Linked DNA regions of Arabidopsis thaliana. The protein of the gene in region 2 interacts with the protein of the main gene of each other region in a pairwise test. Each region holds a gene or a part of one and is shown on either strand. Other genes may lie near its edges.

The links.
Region 1: the proteins of BBX18 (region 2) and PRR3 interact in a two-hybrid assay, tested with the Arabidopsis thaliana proteins (one large-scale study listed by BioGRID).
Region 3: the proteins of BBX18 (region 2) and AT2G46670 interact in a two-hybrid assay, tested with the Arabidopsis thaliana proteins (one large-scale study listed by BioGRID).

What each region holds. Positions count from the first base shown.
Region 1 is NC_003076.8:24,196,338-24,203,431, forward strand, and holds PRR3 (pseudo-response regulator 3), read right to left. Parts: upstream 5,028-7,094; 5' UTR 4,792-5,027; exon of another isoform or gene 4,326-4,791; 5' UTR 4,166-4,325; coding exon 3,898-4,165; intron 3,810-3,897; coding exon 3,648-3,809; intron 3,552-3,647; coding exon 3,163-3,551; intron 3,072-3,162; coding exon 2,924-3,071; intron 2,802-2,923; coding exon 2,522-2,801; intron 2,442-2,521; coding exon 2,411-2,441; coding exon of another isoform or gene 2,378-2,410; exon of another isoform or gene 2,332-2,377; coding exon 2,146-2,331; intron 2,077-2,145; coding exon 2,009-2,076; intron 1,915-2,008; coding exon 1,878-1,914; 3' UTR 1,661-1,877; downstream 1-1,660. Other genes in the region: AT5G60090 (Protein kinase superfamily protein), read right to left, coding at 84-517, 594-783, 866-1,035, 1,223-1,388; PUM18 (pumilio 18), read left to right, coding at 5,617-6,600. UniProt on the Arabidopsis thaliana protein: Controls photoperiodic flowering response. Component of the circadian clock. Controls the degradation of APRR1/TOC1 by the SCF(ZTL) complex. Expression of several members of the ARR-like family is controlled by circadian rhythm.
Region 2 is NC_003071.7:9,124,077-9,129,553, reverse strand, and holds BBX18 (B-box zinc finger family protein), read right to left. Parts: upstream 3,292-5,477; 5' UTR 3,053-3,291; coding exon 2,960-3,052; intron 2,578-2,959; coding exon 2,481-2,577; intron 2,390-2,480; coding exon 2,274-2,389; intron 2,191-2,273; coding exon 2,026-2,190; intron 1,950-2,025; coding exon 1,902-1,949; 3' UTR 1,567-1,901; downstream 1-1,566. Other genes in the region: FBA1 (fructose-bisphosphate aldolase 1), read left to right, coding at 129-238, 331-421, 508-777, 860-1,138. UniProt on the Arabidopsis thaliana protein: Acts as a negative regulator of seedling photomorphogenesis. Acts as a negative regulator of blue light-mediated inhibition of hypocotyl elongation through increase of bioactive gibberellin levels.
Region 3 is NC_003071.7:19,163,227-19,167,827, forward strand, and holds AT2G46670 (CCT motif family protein), read right to left. Parts: upstream 2,008-4,601; coding exon 1,555-2,007; intron 1,462-1,554; coding exon 1,363-1,461; 3' UTR 1,131-1,362; downstream 1-1,130. Other genes in the region: HB-7 (homeobox 7), read right to left, coding at 2,551-2,967, 3,188-3,547.

The DNA.
Region 1 (7,094 bases), on a different chromosome or scaffold from region 2:
TCCAAACAAAACTCAGCTAATCTACTAACTTCCATAACACGAAACGTGTAAAAGGTTCCTAGATACAAAAGTTTTAGTCATACCCAATCAGTGAGATTCTTTTTCCCAGCAGGATTATCCGAATAAAAAGGTTTCCTTCCGGTGAAAAGCACTAACAGAAAAGCTCCATAGCTATAGACATCAGTCTTAGTCGAAACCAACCAGGAAATCTCTCCTTCCGGTGCAATGTATCCCATAGATGCCTTCATCGGAATGATCCGTTGCTGCTGCTCAACACCGTTTTCATCTTCAACGATTTTAGTCGCCAATCCAAAATCTGTCAGCTTCGGAACAAAATCTGCATCAAGTAATATGTTTCCGGCCTTGACATCTCTGTTAATCACTTTCAGCTCCTCGTGTAGATAAACCAGGCCCTTGGCTACACCCACAGCAATTTTCATCCTCGTGTACCAATCCAAAACCCTAATTGGTAGTGTTAGACCCTTAGGTCGCGGACCCTCCACCATCGTTTTGTGTGCTACAAAAAACAGAATCAATTAGGTTTAGAAGCTAAAACAGAGTCATCAATTAGGGTTTGATTGAGTTTTCTTTACCAAAGATGTGACGCTCAAGATCTCCGTTGGCCATGAATTCGTAAATTATAGCACGGTTCCTTTGGCCGTAACAGTTGCCAAGAAGTCTAATCACATTTGGATGATTAGTTGCACGTAACGTTGTAACCTCTGCCAAGAACTCAACATGACCAGTTGGATTCTGTGGATTTTGAACCTTTACCGCTCCATCCTAATGAAATCAAAAGTTTCAGACTTTAGAAACTGGGTTTCGATTATTAAGCATAAAGGACATGACCTTTGGGTCTATATACCACATTAAGTCTTGAGAAATAGCAGCGATGGACTTCGCCGAAGTTGCCTTTGCCGAGATAAAATTCGTCCCGGAAGTTTATGGTTCCGTTTACGAGCTCACGCCATAGAAATGATTCTCCACAATTATCAGGTAGAGGTGGAGATACTGGTAACAGAGCAGCAGTCGGATCTGCAAATGAATTACCAAAGGTTAAAGATTGAACAAGATACTACTTTCACTTGCAAGAATGTGACGAGACCAAAACGAAGAAGTAAGAAAGAAACTCTTAAAATACAGAGTTGCGTAAGATACAAGAAACCCAGAAAACAAGAAATCTCGATTTCAAGAGATTGAAGAAGAGAAACGAAAACGGAACCTGCAACTTCACGATCGTCAGGGAGTCGGAGATGATTTCTCCAAAGATGATTGAGGCGCTCGTTATTCCCAAATAGGCGCTCGACATCTACTTCGTCGTTCTCGTCGTTACCTTGCGCTGCGTTACTTGAGCTTCCTCCTTTGAGACAGCATAAGAAACGTTTCATCGTAGCGATCAACGAAGATGAATCTTTCTTGAGATTTTTTTCTTTTGTTTTCCCGAGAATCTTTTTCCCGGAAACAAGTAATTAAACAGAGTAAGAGACTCTCAACGAGAAAACTAGAGCGAGAAAGAGAATGAGAGAGGTTTGGATGATGAGAACTAAAAGAATTCGCCGGAGGATATTTATATAGACGGGAGATTATGCGCTCTAATAATTCTTAAAAAAATTAGAGAATTAAATACTCAAATTATATTCATAAAACACACACACTAATTAATGAGTAACATTATTTATTGAAATGTTAATGAGTTATTGTTTTCAGAGAAGAAGTACTATAGCGACATTATTATGTTTGTAGAATAGTAATGACGTTATTTAAACAAGACTACTATCTGTTTTTGGAAATGGAAAAAAAAAAATGCCACTTTGTGAAATTTTCTTCTGTTCTTCAGATATTGGAGGTGGATCTCTCTTCTATACCAATTTTGTTGTTCAATTGTCTTCACTTCCTGATTTATGATCATCCCTCCTAAAGGCAAAGGACTCCATGTGAGTACATTACTATATCAGGATACTTTTCGAAACATCTAGAGGGAGAAATCTTGGAAAGGATTTGAACTTACTTGCGAATGAATTGACCTTTGACGTGAGGCCGTTGCTCAGCTAGTTTCTTCCTGCTATGGTACCTAACCTAAAGGATACCAAAAAAAACGTTAGTTTCGTCTCAGGAAACAAGAGCTTAAGCTTGTTTAGAGCTTACCTTTTTCTCAAAACATCGCTCTTTACGTTTAAGGCGAAACTTCATCAAAGCAGCTTCTCTTTGTGCCCATCGGTCACTTCCACTAGACTGCTGCTTTAAAGGATTGTCACTGCTTGAACTCGAACCCAACAGTTTTGCAATAGGACTGTCATGAGGAGAACAACTTTCCACATTTTCTTCTGGAGCCTAACTCAGCAAAAGTTCAAAGTTTTTGATGAAACCGGCATAAATTTCAAAGACAGCGCCAAGCATCATGAAAAGTTACCTTCTTAGCAGAAGTAGCACCATTATTGTATCTGCATATCACAAGAGAACCAATAACTCCAAATCAGTCACAGGTTCGACATTTCATTTGCAGTTAATGTCAAGAACTTACTTTGAGAATGCAGAGAGATTTGAATGCCTCAACACACTTCGATCACCGACTTTGTAATCTCTATCCTCTCTTGTTTTTTTCAGAGTTTGCTCGAGTGATTGCAAATCTTCTCGGTTAGATGAAGGTGCTTTGCTTTCTACTTGTGAGTTACCAGAAGAGCGATTCAGCGTGTCATCATTGTTTCTCTCCAAAGCTTGAACAGAATACTTTGCATTCTTTTCAAGATCTCCTGGTTCTTCAGCTTTCTTACTCATAGACATTCCTGTCTGTGATCCCGTGCCTAATACAATATCATCTAAAGTCATTGTTTTGAATTAAAGTAAATCAGAGAGAATCTCAAGGAATTGTTCCACAAGATCAGTGTACTCACATTTTAATTGACTAATTAATTTGCGTTCTTACCTATTTGTTCCTTCTGATCTTCAGCCTCCTTCAGTCTATTAACATGTGCACATCCATTTTCATAGGTTCCTTTCTTGTTGGGTGCATCGGGAAATTGATTTGAAGGCGAGGTGCTCTTAGTATCACTGGCTCTTTTTGTCCAAGAACTCTACATATTTTTATAAATGCAAAACCAATCAAAAATTTATAAACCGATTTATTCAGACATTGTTATTATCTATAGCCATAGAACAGATTACCTGAGTTCCACTCCCGTTATCACTCCCACCATCTTGGTTACTCAAACCACCACTACTCCCACTTTCATTCCTGTGTTCATCACTGATGCTGGCATCATTTTCTGACCCTTGGGTGCTTTCAGGTTTCACCGACTTCTTGTCATGTATTCCACTCTCACTTCCGCTTCCGCTAGACTGGTAAATCAATAAACGCATAAGTAAGAAAAAAACACAGAGTAACTTTTGTAAAACAGGTAACCAAATCAGAACTCTTACGCTGTGACATCTTCTCCAGACATGTTGCCAAAGATTCTTTAGTTCGTTCTTTCTAATGGGTTTCACGAGAAAATCAACAGCACCATTCGACAAACACTTAAAGACCAGAACCATAGAATCATGTGATGACATCACTACAAAAAGAAACATCACATCTTGAGTTACACAAACTGAGCATGGCATATTGAAGCTGGATAAACAAAAATTTAATCAAGGATTTGAGTAAATACTTATGACGGGGATGTTCTTAAGTGTCTTATGGCTCATAATCTTGGACAGCAGACCGGTTCCTGAATGCACAGGCATGTCAACCTCTGTTAAGACAAGATCAATGCAACTTTTCTCATCTTCTAGAATTCTCCAGGCTTCAAGGACATCCGGAACAGCAGTAACTGACAAAAAGTTTCCAAATTTACAACTGTTAGTCAAAAGCAAAAATGTGATTGCTAAACAAGGATGATCAATTCAATATAAGAAAACCTTCATAGCTGCAATTCTTTAAAAGGGCAGTAACAATATGGCGTGTTGAGTCATCATTCTCCACCAGAAGAACCTTAAGCGATCTAACTGGGAGATACCTCTCCCACTTCACAACATGAGCTAGCGGTTGCTGCTGTTGTTGAGAAATCTGTACATTGTTGGTATTTCTAGCAGTATCTTCAACTCGAAATTCATCTTCTTCAGATGAACCAAACACTTGCCTCTCGGTTTCCACTTCATCACCAGTTTCAATGTTATTAAAACACATTTTTAGAATACTAATATCTCATGAAAGTGTCAAGACCAGCCTCCATGAACAAGATAGAATAGAAGCAGCATCAAGTAACAGCTAAGATTCTGCAGAAACTTCCCCTCTACACTGACATAACACTTGCACATTTCTTCTTTCCCCAAACTTATTCTAATCCCTTCACCAAAACCTCAGCCCAATAAGAAACGAGAAACAAAAAAAAAAGCAACATTCCGTAAGAAGATCACAGTCTCACACCAGAACCAAAAAATAAAAAACTGAATTTGGATAAATCATCAAACTTGTCCAAAGAAAAACTAAACAAGCCAAATCAAATTTCAATAGTAGCACACACTCAGCTTTAGAAAACAATCTGAAACTTGTTGTTTCTAAAATCAAAAGCTATCAATGTTCCAATGGAAAATTATCACAGTACTTGGTAAGTAGTTAACAAACTTTGAACACAGTTTCTTTTATTCATTAGATGATTGTAAAGATCTCCTACTTTCTCAAATTTCTTATAAACTCTACAGAACCAGATACAAAATCAAACTCTAAGGCTCTAAGCTATAATACTTAATGAAATAAGCACAAAATTCAAACAGCAGCAGATTGTAAAAGCGACAAGACAAACAAAAGCAAACCTTTTTCACATAATCCATTGATGAACACCACCACCACCAGAATCTCTCACCATATCTGACTTGAAAAACCAAATTACAACCAAAAAAGAACAGATTTTTGCTTAATCTGATTTGCTTAGCATTTAATCACCTAATCATTCAAAAATGTTTTGATTCGTATCTATTTTTCTTTTACCAACAACTTTACAGAACCAAATTGCTACTAAAATAGAATAAAAAGAAAGAAAATTTAAAAAACTTGATAGAGAATCAGAGGAAGAGAAGACTGGGATTTTTTGGGAGGTGGTAGAACAAAAAGGTCAGAGAAGATATTATTTTGGAGTTTGATGACGTGGCAGAACTAACCTACGTGTCAAGTAGGACCAGATAAATTTACGCATGCTGAGATTAGTGACGTGGACAAAATCAAAAGCTTGGACTGCGAGGGGTTGGTTTAGACTTTAGAGATTATCGACATGTTAAATTATTGTCGATTTACAACAAAACAAATTACATATTTCCATTTGTTTCAGATAGATTATTATTATCTTCACACACCAAAAAAAGATAGATTAAAATCATGACAGTTACGAAAATGCAAAGAAAAAAGGAAAATTGACAAAACAAAAAGGAAACTCCACCAAATAAGTTTCCTTTTCCTTTTCCTAGTAGTAATCCGAGTTGTGTAATTGTAACTAGAAAAACAAAAGCCCTAACTTTTCTATAAATACTCTACGCATCACCACAGATCTCTCATTCACAAGTCTCTCATACTTCTCCCAAATCACACAAACTGATTAAACCCTTTTCTAGAGAAATTTCTGTAGATCATCAAGAGATTTATCAATGGCAGTCGCTGATAATCCCTTTTCAATGTCGACCATGTTCAATGCTTTACCAAACCCTAAAGGAATCTCCGGTTCCATTCCTCCTCCTGGATTCGCCCCACGCGCCTCCGCCACGCCCTTGCACGCAGCTCTGTTCAACCTAATGACTGACGGCGATGGTGTGTCTTACTTTAAAGAGATGATCTCAAATTCAGACAAAACAGAGCTTCAGAGGATGGCCTCGTTGCTTACGTCTGACTCCGATTACTTCATGTCGATCGTCACAACCAAGTTCGGCTCGAGACGCGTGCAGAAGCTCCTCGGCAAATCAGATGACGTGGACGCCTTCTTCTGTGCCGCTATCTTGCGCCGCTTCCTCCACATCACGACCGACAAATACGCATCCTACGTGACGATACGAGCCATGGTCGTTTTCGACAAGGTGATGAAAAAGGCATTGTACGAGCGCATTCTCTACCACGCTCTCGACCTAGCGTGTGACCAGCACGGCTGCATCGCGCTCAATGATATCATAACCGACGCTGACGATCCTTACTACAGAGATCAGCTACTAGAATTGGTCGCATCCAACGCTCTCCGGCTAAGCAACGATGCTTCAGGGAACTTTGTGGTCCAACATGTGCTTACACTGTATGACTCGCGTTGCATTCACAACATCGCCGTTAATCTTTATGGTCAGTGCATTGAGCTATCGTTTAAGAAGTATGGAAGCTACATCGTGGAGAAGCTTTTGGAGGTGGAGGAGTCAATGGTTGTGGTGGTTGTGGAGCTTTTGGGTTGCGATGGAGACAGGTTGATGAGGCTGGCGAGGAATGAGTTTGGGAATTTCGTGGTGGTCAAGGCTCTGAGATTCACCAAGATGTCTAGGATGGATCTGTTTTGGGGTTTGGTGCAGAAGCTCATGCCTTTTATCCGTCTCTTGCGTAGATCTCACGGAAGCAACATTGCAAACATCTTGGACTCATTTAGGCTTCGTTGCTGATTATAACTCTGTGTTTATTTTTCAAACCAGCTTACAATAGTTTAATTGTTCCGGTGTTCAATGTAGTTACATAACTCTGGTAAGAAAAGTGTTTCGTCATAAACTACTATTTTGTTTTGTAAAGTTGGAGTTCTTATGAAGAAGAGTTTACACAATTTGAAAAACGAAATTGGCTAATACATTTCTTCTTGTGTTCTTATTTCTGAAAACAAAACAAACCTAAATCGAGAGCTGTAAACGAATACACATTGCAAACTTCATCAACACCTTATGAAAGAAAAGTAAATCATATTTGGTGCACTAAAGATAAAATCGCACCTTGCTCAGTTAAGGAAGCAGCTTCCCTTCCATTCCATTGTATGGCTGCCTTGTCACAAGCCCAAAGTTTCTGCTAGAACCATTAGCAGGAAAATCACGAAGAGCATACAGCTTATACTCAGATAACAATCTTATCAAGATAGATACAAATGTCTCATAGCCATCAGAAATCTCTA
Region 2 (5,477 bases):
GAGTTGGAATAGTTAGTCTGTTTTGGACTAGCAAAATGCCGGTTTGGTCTATTCTTAGATTTGACCGGTTTACAAACAGATTCTGGTTTAGTTTTTTATATTTGTTCGATTCCAATGAATATAAATAGGGTTTGGTGCCACTTGTTGGGTCTTACGACGAGTCATGGTGCCAAGGACTTGACGGTTTAGCCTCTCGCACCGCTGCTTACTACCAACAAGGTGCTCGTTTCGCCAAATGGTACGTTAATATATGCTCGGATTGCAGAATCAATATCATATATTTGTCAAATGGTGTCTTTTTTTAATTGAGCTCCATGTATGTATGATTAGGCGTACTGTTGTGAGCATTCCAAATGGACCCTCTGCTTTGGCTGTTAAAGAAGCAGCTTGGGGACTTGCTCGCTACGCAGCTATTTCTCAAGTACTATCTATTTCTAACTGCACCGCTGTTTCTGAGTTCCATTACTGTCTTGAATATACTCATGCGTTTGAGTTTGTGTTCTACAGGACAGCGGTCTGGTGCCGATTGTGGAGCCAGAGATTATGTTGGACGGAGAACACGGCATTGACAGGACATACGACGTTGCAGAGAAGGTTTGGGCTGAGGTCTTCTTCTACCTCGCTCAGAACAACGTCATGTTCGAAGGTATTCTCCTGAAGCCAAGCATGGTTACTCCAGGAGCTGAGGCCACAGACAGAGCTACTCCTGAGCAGGTTGCTTCCTACACTCTCAAGCTCCTTCGCAACAGAATCCCTCCTGCTGTCCCCGGAATCATGGCAAGTTTTCTCTGATACTGTAAACTTTTGCAGCTGAAGAAACTATGCTTGAGATTTATGTTAAACTATCTATTGTATGCAGTTCTTGTCTGGTGGACAGTCCGAGTTGGAGGCGACCTTGAACTTGAACGCAATGAACCAGGCACCGAACCCATGGCACGTGTCCTTCTCCTACGCACGTGCCTTGCAGAACACTTGCTTGAAGACATGGGGAGGCAAGGAAGAGAACGTGAAGGCGGCTCAGGACATTCTCTTGGCCAGAGCCAAAGCCAATTCGCTGGCTCAGCTCGGGAAATACACTGGAGAAGGCGAGTCTGAGGAAGCCAAGGAGGGTATGTTTGTAAAAGGCTACACCTACTAAGCTATTTGTAATAATGGTTCCATAGATCAAAACTCAAAAACTTGAGCTTGATTCTGGTCATTTGAGTTATTATACTCTTCTTCAGGTATAAAAGTCAGTTCTGTGTTATCATGTGAGACTAGTTTTGTTTCTTCATGGTTAATATCTTAGTACCTACTCGTTACTACTAATAATTGAGTTAGTAGTCTGTTTCTATCATTGTTATCACTCAAAAACTCTGTCTTTACAAGTTATGAAACTAGTAACATTATGCTCTCTGAGCTCAAAATCACATCTAATGCAGGAAAATGACATTACAATTTATGTTCAAAAAAATGGAGCGAGAAACATCGAAACAGTATGTTGAGACTTGAGTAATGAGAGATTGCAGTTCAAGATCATATGACTCTCAAATTACTCATGTTTATAACTCAGAGTTAACAAAACTAATCAGAGAGAGAAGAAGAAGATAATAGTCATGGCTCATGGTGATCACTTAAACCGAGCCAAGAAGGCATCTCCTTTAATGGCTAACCATTTTACTATTTTCTATTAAAGCTTTGTCTGAATGTGAGAAGAGAGAAAATCATATATTTGAGATATAACTCTGAAGAATCGTTATCCACTAATTGATCATTTCACAAAAGAAAGGAAAAGAGAAGAAATTCAGAAAACAACATATTTGTTTCCTCTAAGCTAATTTCTTCAAAACAAAATAAGACATTTCCCTGTAAAGATACTGTTCTTGCATAGGTTCTTACTTGATCTTGTGTATCTGCGATCACTATTCATGCTCGTGATTGTTTGCGTTATTTACATCAATACCCTCCTCCTTGAAACACAAACAAAACAGCTTTAGAGACACTGAGGCAAGATTGATTATGTTCATCTAGATAAGATACACGTACTTGGTTATGTGATCCAGGCTCGTGTACTCTTTGAGGATTGGAGTTAAGATCGATCATATTATGATCATGATCACCATTCCCATTTGATTCTTGACCACGACCAGAGGAAGCCTTTTGACACCGTAGTCCCAGTTGGTCAGCATGATTAGGCTTATCGCCTGGAAACTACAAGAACACAACATTGTAAAGAACAGTCAATACCACAAATCAAGAATGCTTCAAGATCCTTGCATTTTCAAAAGTCAAACCTCAATTCTCTGTCTCAGTAATAGAAACCGCCTATGTGTTCTCTTCCCACCAACATGTACCACCATATCACATTGTAGACAAAGGGAACTACCATCTATCTCACAGTAAAAGAATGCTGTTCATCGATCAACAACAAAACAAACATGTCAAAAACTGAAACTTCCGCTTCCTCTTATACACTAAAGAAAGAGGAATCATATCAATACCGGGTGCATTTTCGCATATGTCACAGCTTGGTGCATTACTCGGATCAGCTAAGCCTACACGAAGATGCCGACTAGCCAGCTTGTTGCACTTATGAACCTAAACACACAAACAAAAATGTTTCTTTCTTATAACTTATATCTAACCACGTCCTCAATCAAAGCCATTGCAGATAACAAAAAGTCTCATAGCTCTTCCAGCTTCAATAGAGTGACTGTAACTGTAAATAAAGTGTATCACCAGAGAACTGCTATATGCAAAGTTCAAATTATGACAAGCTAAAATCACTAGAATGTTTCTTTAACAATCAAAACACAACTTTTGGTACTACTTTGGCCATGTTCGAGTTATAATAACCTCAAAATCTATAAATTTAGCACTTCAACTAGATATTGTCTCAAAAATTCCAAATTTTTGCATTTGTTGAGATAAAAGTGTTACTTTAAGAAAAATGAGATTTTTTTCAGGTAAAGGTGGTTACTTTTTCGTCGCAGGAGCAACAGAGGGCAGCTTCGTCGGCGGCGCAAAAGACGATAGCGGCGGCGCTCTCACAAGCATCACACAAAATTCGCATGTTTTTTACTCAAACGATTAGTCTCACTTTCAAAGTTAGCATCTTTCGCCAAACCCAAATTCTGATTGTTGAAGCGGAAGATGGAGAGACTAAAGGGTTTAGGATTAATGGATAATACGAGATAAAGTAAGAAGAGGAAGGAGATTTTTTGAATCAAACTAAGAAGAAGAAGAAGAAGAAGAAGAAGAAGAAGAAGAAGAAGAAGAAAGCAGAGAGCAGCAGAGAAATATGATGGATAGATGAATTTGCAGACGCTGCGAGTAGCTTGTATATGTATACTCGCTCTATCTCCCCTTTATTTGATTTCCCTTCTGATGGCCAAAATTAAACATAGATAGGATTTTTTTTTTTTTTTTTTGTATTTGACTCTTTGTCAAATATTTTTTAATCTTTTAAAATTTTTTCACATTTTTAGGAATATGTTCTATATGAAATTATGGGTTTGAATGGTAGGTGAGTGTATACACCATTTTGATTGTTAATTTGTTATTAATTATTTTAAAAGGAAATTGCAGTGTCAAAAATGGTCTCAAAATTTATCATTAATTGTTATTGTAATTTTTTTTGAACTATTCTACTATAGTTTTTGTGTACTTTTGCTAAGCTGAAAATCTTAACACATTCTGAAGTATCAATTGGAGCATATAATATTGAAAATTCAACTATACATTTTTATTAGTAAATGTTGATGTAAAAAAAAAAAGCTTGAATCTTTAACTGTTTTATGCGGAAGCTCTCACTAAATCTCTCTTTGTTCGATCACTCGTGTGTTTAGACAAAGAAAGTAAAACAGACACAAGCAAATGTTAACCCAGTTCACGTTCAGTGATGAACGCTACGTCTGGACCGAGATTACCCGGAAATCCACTAGAAAGCCTTGGTTACACAAACCCTTAGAAACAAGACTGAATAAACTTTCAGCTGCCTCTCTTGCACTTACTCTCTTAACCCTAATGTCTCACTTATCTTCTCCTTTATACAACTCTACTCACCGCCACGCTCCTCTCTCTTCTTCCGTACTCTGTTTCAAATGCAGAGACAAAGAGACAAAATGGTTGAACCATTGGCAAGAGGTTAATTACGTCTCTAGCCTTGATGAGCTGTATGACAAAGCACGTGCGCCTCTCGTGACTTCGTTTCTTTCACAAGCTGAGACCTTCTCTTTGGATTAGAGTCTTTATGACACTTTAGGCAATACTTCCACAAAACTTCACCTTGCCTTAGTGTCAACCTTTCCTTTGCTTCCCTTCTAGTGTAACTTGATTTCCATCTCGGACCATGATCCCTTATCAGGCACTTGTAACCCTGAGCTTCTTCAACGCGCTCAGGAACTTGTTAACCGGTACCACCTTTGTGAAAATATCCGATGGATTATGAACTGTGGATATTTTCAGCACTTTCACTTCTCCATCAGTGATTGCATCTCTGATGTAATGAAACCTTCTCTGGATATGCTTTGTCCTTTCATGATGAACTGCATTCTTTGCTAAAGCTATAGCACTCTGAGAATCACAATGGATATCTACCGCTCCTTGTTTAAATCCCAGCTCATTCATCAAGTCTTTTAGCCAATATGCTTCTTTTGCAGCCTCTGTTAAGGCTATATACTCAGCCTCTGTTGATGACAGTGCAACAACTGGCTGCAAGCATGACCTCCAGCTTACTATGTTCCCTCCTACAGTGAATGTGTACCCTGTGGTCGATCTACTTCGATCACGATCTCCAGAGTGATCTGAATCACAGTACCCTGTCACCACAAAATCACCTTCTCTCTTGTACTGCAGCCTTGAATCAATAGACCCCTTAATGTAACGGAGAACCCATTTCACACCTAGCCAATGATTCATCAATGGTTTACTCATAAACCTACTTATGACTCCAACAGGATGAGCAAGGTCAGGCCTTGACCCGATCATAGAATACATTATGCTTCCCACTGCATTTGCATAAGGTATAGACTTCATTTGATCAGCTTGCTCCTCTGCTTCAGTCTCTGTTGCTGCTACAAACTTCATATGTGGTGCCAATGGTGTTTTAACAGGCTTGCATTCATCCATTCTGAATGTCTTTAACACCTTTTGCAGATAACTTCTCTGAGATAACTCCAAAATATTTTCTTCTCGGTTTCTTGTTATCTCCATTCCCAGAATTTTCCTTGCAGGCCCCAAATCCTTCATTTCAAACTCTGAACTCAGTCTTTCCTTTAATTCCTTGACTGTTTCCTTGTTCTTTGATATGATCAACATATCATCAACATACAAGAGAAGAAATGTTCTTTCTTCTTCAGAAAATAAATCCATACTTTTCTTGTAAGGTCATCAATAAACGTGATAAAGTACTGACAATTACCTAGTGAGTTTGGTACTGATGGCGCTCCCCAAAGATCCGAGTGAATGTACTCAAGTTTCTCTCTTGTGACATGTTT
Region 3 (4,601 bases), about 10 Mb from region 2:
GGACCCAAAATCCGGTTAGATTTCACAACGTCATATTAATTTAGTATTTATAAAACCTTAAAAAAAAGAGTTGAAAATCTTTTCAAAATAATAATAATAATAAATGCTAAATATAAGAAAAACAAGTGTTAAAAAGTTAAATAAAATGTAAACCATATTGAACCTAGAACAACTCTTAGGGGATTGGATGATGTATCCAATTAGTTTACACAAAATTTAAAAATTTAACACTTATCTATATAAAAAAAATCTAAAGTTATAATAAAATATAGGTGTAAAAACATTTTACACTTAAACTAATGAAAATATATAAACATTTTAGTTATATAAATGTTATGGTGAAACTAATTAGTTTTAGTTTTACTTAAAAATAATTTTGAAGGAAAATAAAACAAAAAAAAAAAGAATGAAAAAAGTAATACCTTGTTGGATTTAGTAGCAAAAAGGGCCCATAGAGCAAAGCCCATTCCAAAGTCAGATTTGAGCCCGTCGGTCTTTGGGAGCCCTCTCGTGACATCATCCACCACCATAAAGCTCTCCGCTCTCTTGGCTATATCCTCCTCTTTGTAGTCTCCGGTGAAAGCGTCTCTCGTTGGTCAGATCATTATCTGGCGACATCGATCTTGATGACATAGATTTGATGGTTCAATCACGAAACGATGATGATATGATATCGCTCCGATCAATTACGGACGTTTCAGAGATCATCACCATCGGCTTTTACTTGAATATCTCTACTTGGATCATCATCGGAATTCACAGAGAGATAAAGACAAAATTGTCTTGAGAAGAGAATTAGGGTTTTAGAATAAGAAGAAGCGAGAAATAGAGAGTTTTGATTTGTCGAATTCTTTAGAAGAAGCGTTGAGACTCTCAGTGAGAGAGTAATTATTTATTTATAAGCGAAGAAAAGGAAACTGATAATCACAATTAACGGTCACAAAATCTTCTTTTAACGGTCACAAAAAAGATTTCTTTTGATAGCTTCTGTTTCCTTTTTTTTGTTTCTCTGACTGTGAGAGAATTAATGTGATGAGTTTTAATACATAGACTATAGCAATGGTATATAAATCAAGTTTTATAGAATCTGTTTCTTGTTGGTATGTATCGAGAGAGAAGCGGCCTGGATATGATCACAACAAGAAATATTTCTCAACTTAACGAAATTGGAATTACTGTTTTAGCTTAGCCTGATCATTTGCAGACATATATACAAAAGTTGCCCCAGTATCTCATATTAGCTGAGAAGAAGAAGCCAATCAAATACATAAAAAAAAAAAGCACACTAAAGATTGCAAAAGCTAAATAAGTTTCTGTTATAAAATCAACAAAAGAAATCAGAGGAAAAACTGAAAGAGCTCTTCATGATTTTGTAGACGCGTCTGAATTCACGGTTCGCACGAACTGGCCTTTCACTCGAGGACGTTGTTCTGCTAGCTTCTTCCTGCTCTGGTACCGAACCTGTAATCCATTTTTATACATCTCCATTGAATCAGTTTGATCTTGTATTTGTTTCAGATGCTGTTTTTATGATGAAGCTTGTGTGTCTCTTACCTTTTTGTCAAAGCATCGATCTTTCCTCTTCAACCGGAACTTCATCAATGCAGCTTCTCTCTGGCTTCTACTCCAACGTTGTTTCGCACTTTCTTCTTCCTTTGGTTTCTCTGTGCTACTGCTTTGTCCAGCAATCCCCTCATTGGTGCTTTGAGAACCAGCTTCTACTTCCTTGCTAGCTGCTTTCTCGCGATTTGATTCTACCGGTATGGGTGAATCTTGCTTCTGATTCGTTACTGTGGACTGAAGAACTTGGTTACGGAAGCTTACGCTTGATGATCCGATATTCTCCTGGTTGCTGCTCGTTGTGGAGCTTCCTTGATCAGATCTTACTTTTCTCAACTTTTCATGTGATTCGGTTGGTGTCTTTGGCTCACCTGAAGTACTCTCCTCTAAAGCAACGACGGCTTTTTCTGCTGACTTGCTTTCCTCAAATCTGCAAGTTAAATACATAAGAATTTGCGAATTGACTGACTCTGTTTTGATACTCTGCTTTTGTTGAGAAAAAAACAAAGTTTCTCCTTAAATCTTCCGAGTCAAGAAGATGTTAACTTGGGTTTCATGGTTCTTTTCGTGTTCCTAATATCAGTTTCTTCTCACCAACTTAGTTCTCTTCTTGATCTTTTACATATTAATGCATAACACTTTATATATATGATTTCTCCTGCTTTTGATTTTTATTCATCCAAATTTAGTCTTAAACTTACTACTTAGCTACAAAGCATGACGAGTACTTACTACTTAAAAACAGAATTACAAACACGAACTGAGAATATACGTCTTTCTAAACACATCATTTATACAGACAAAACCATACAATTTCAGCTCAAAATCCTGCAAAATTCTCGCTGAGAAACGAGTCATTTGCTGGACCGAATATCTCTATATCCGTGGCTCGGTTCATGCGATGTAGACCGGTAAATTTCGATTTGAATATGTATATATCCAATCTTTAGTCTCAATCTGTTTCATCTTCTTGTTTAGAGTTTATTGTTTTCATGACCAAAAATCCCGCCAAGGGTAATTGTTGCTGGATTGGTCCAAGAGAGTAGTAGTATCTGATTTGAAACCTCTCCAATCATCAGATGATGTCAAACAACTATCAGCTGGTTCAACAATGTTCATTAAGTGATCTGGTTCTTCCTCAAACCCACCAAAATACTCTCTCTTGATGTTGTTACTATAACCATTATCATCATCTTCATAATCATGATGATCACACATAACCCCATGATGACCCTTATCATCTTTCATCTCCATCTCCGGTCTAACCTCTTCCGGTTTACGCCTCCGGTTCTCTTCGTTTTCTGATTCATGATGTGTGCTGCTTAGAGCAACCACCGCTTGATCTCCACTACACTGCCTTTCCTCCTCCTGTGTCTTCTTTTGCGTCGCCTCTTTTAGCCTCTGCAACTACATAAAGGTATAAAACAACTCATCAACAATCTATTCTCTCCTTCAATAAACCATCAAAACAGAGTTTTTCTTGATCACCTAATCAGTCCTTAATTGCAATATAACCACTAAAGCACATATTTTATCACATATTTAAAACCACAGTTTTTCAGTATACAACCACAAAATACACAGATTTTAACTAACCATGTAAGAATAAACAGAGTTTAGAACATACCTCAGAGACTAAAGCTTGTTTTTCTTTCTTTAAGGACTCGAACTGAGAAGCCAAGTTGTCGTAGTTTTGTCTGAGAATGTTGTACTCAGTCTCGAGCTGCTTGGATTTCCAACGAGCCCTCTTGTTCTGAAACCATATAGCCACTTGCCTCGGCTGCAACCCTAGCTCTCTAGCTAATTGAACCTTCTTCCTTGGCTCAAGCCTTGTCTCAGACTCAAACATCATCTCCAGTGACTTGATCTGCTCGTCGCTAAACCTTCTCTGATTGTTCTTGTTGTGGTTGCTCTTCTTCATCTTCTTCATGGTCAAGAATGGCTCTGCTGACATCATCGCCGGAGAATATTCTCCACCTTCTGTCATCTCATCGGAATTTTTCCTCAGAGGATTTATGTTTTCTTTATTTTTATTTTTTGGAATCTCTATGTTTGTGTGATGTTGGCTATCTATATATGTGTGTTGATGAGGCTGAGATTATTATGTTAACAGTTATATAAAAATGTGATTTGTTGTTCTTTTTTGGGAGGGCTCCTTAGCATATAATAAGATATAACTTTGGGTTTGCTTTATCGTAAATTTTTTATTCATTTTTGAGTAAACGATTTGTGGGTCGACAGGTAGCAATAGGGCGGATTTTGGCTGTTTCTAGAGTCGTCGCTATCACTTGTTAAGTCGAGTTTCATTTCAACTCGAAACTAATCATCTAACTACTGATTAATAATTTCCACCTTTTTTATTTCTTTTACTTGTGACAAAATTAGTTTCGACTTAACAAGTGTTAGAAAATTAAATGATACAAAAAAATCTGCATACTACACAATTTACCGCATAGTAAACATTCTGGTCGATGTGAAAATGGAAATGGAACAACGGTTGCGTACCAATGTATTTAGTGATGTGGGTGCATATTAACAAATCCTGTTAAGTGGATCTTAAATAAAAATGAAGGGAATTATAATGGTTCATATAATGATTAGCATTTCTGAACTGATTACTAAACAATTATAATGGTTCATATAGGGAATTTCAGAAAATGAATAATCCTCATCTCCTATGCATATATCATCATGTGATTAATTATATTCTTTTCAGTACATCTCTGGTGAATTTTTAAATTTTTATGATTGTGTGCGACAGATTTAACGTTCAGAAGTCAGGATGTGTGACGGGTGTTTTTGTATACGTATGACACAAATCATAATTTTCTTAGAATGTGACTTTAATATTATTATACTTGCATTGTAAAACATATATTGATTACATCACAAATCTCAAAAACAAAACATTGTGACTTAAGTATGATGGGATACAATTTTTTCCAGCTATTTGCTTACGCAATTTTTTCTAATCGGAGATTTGATTTAGAATCAAAGCCTAAACTAATTTTTATAGATAAGTGTAATACAAGTTTACCTTC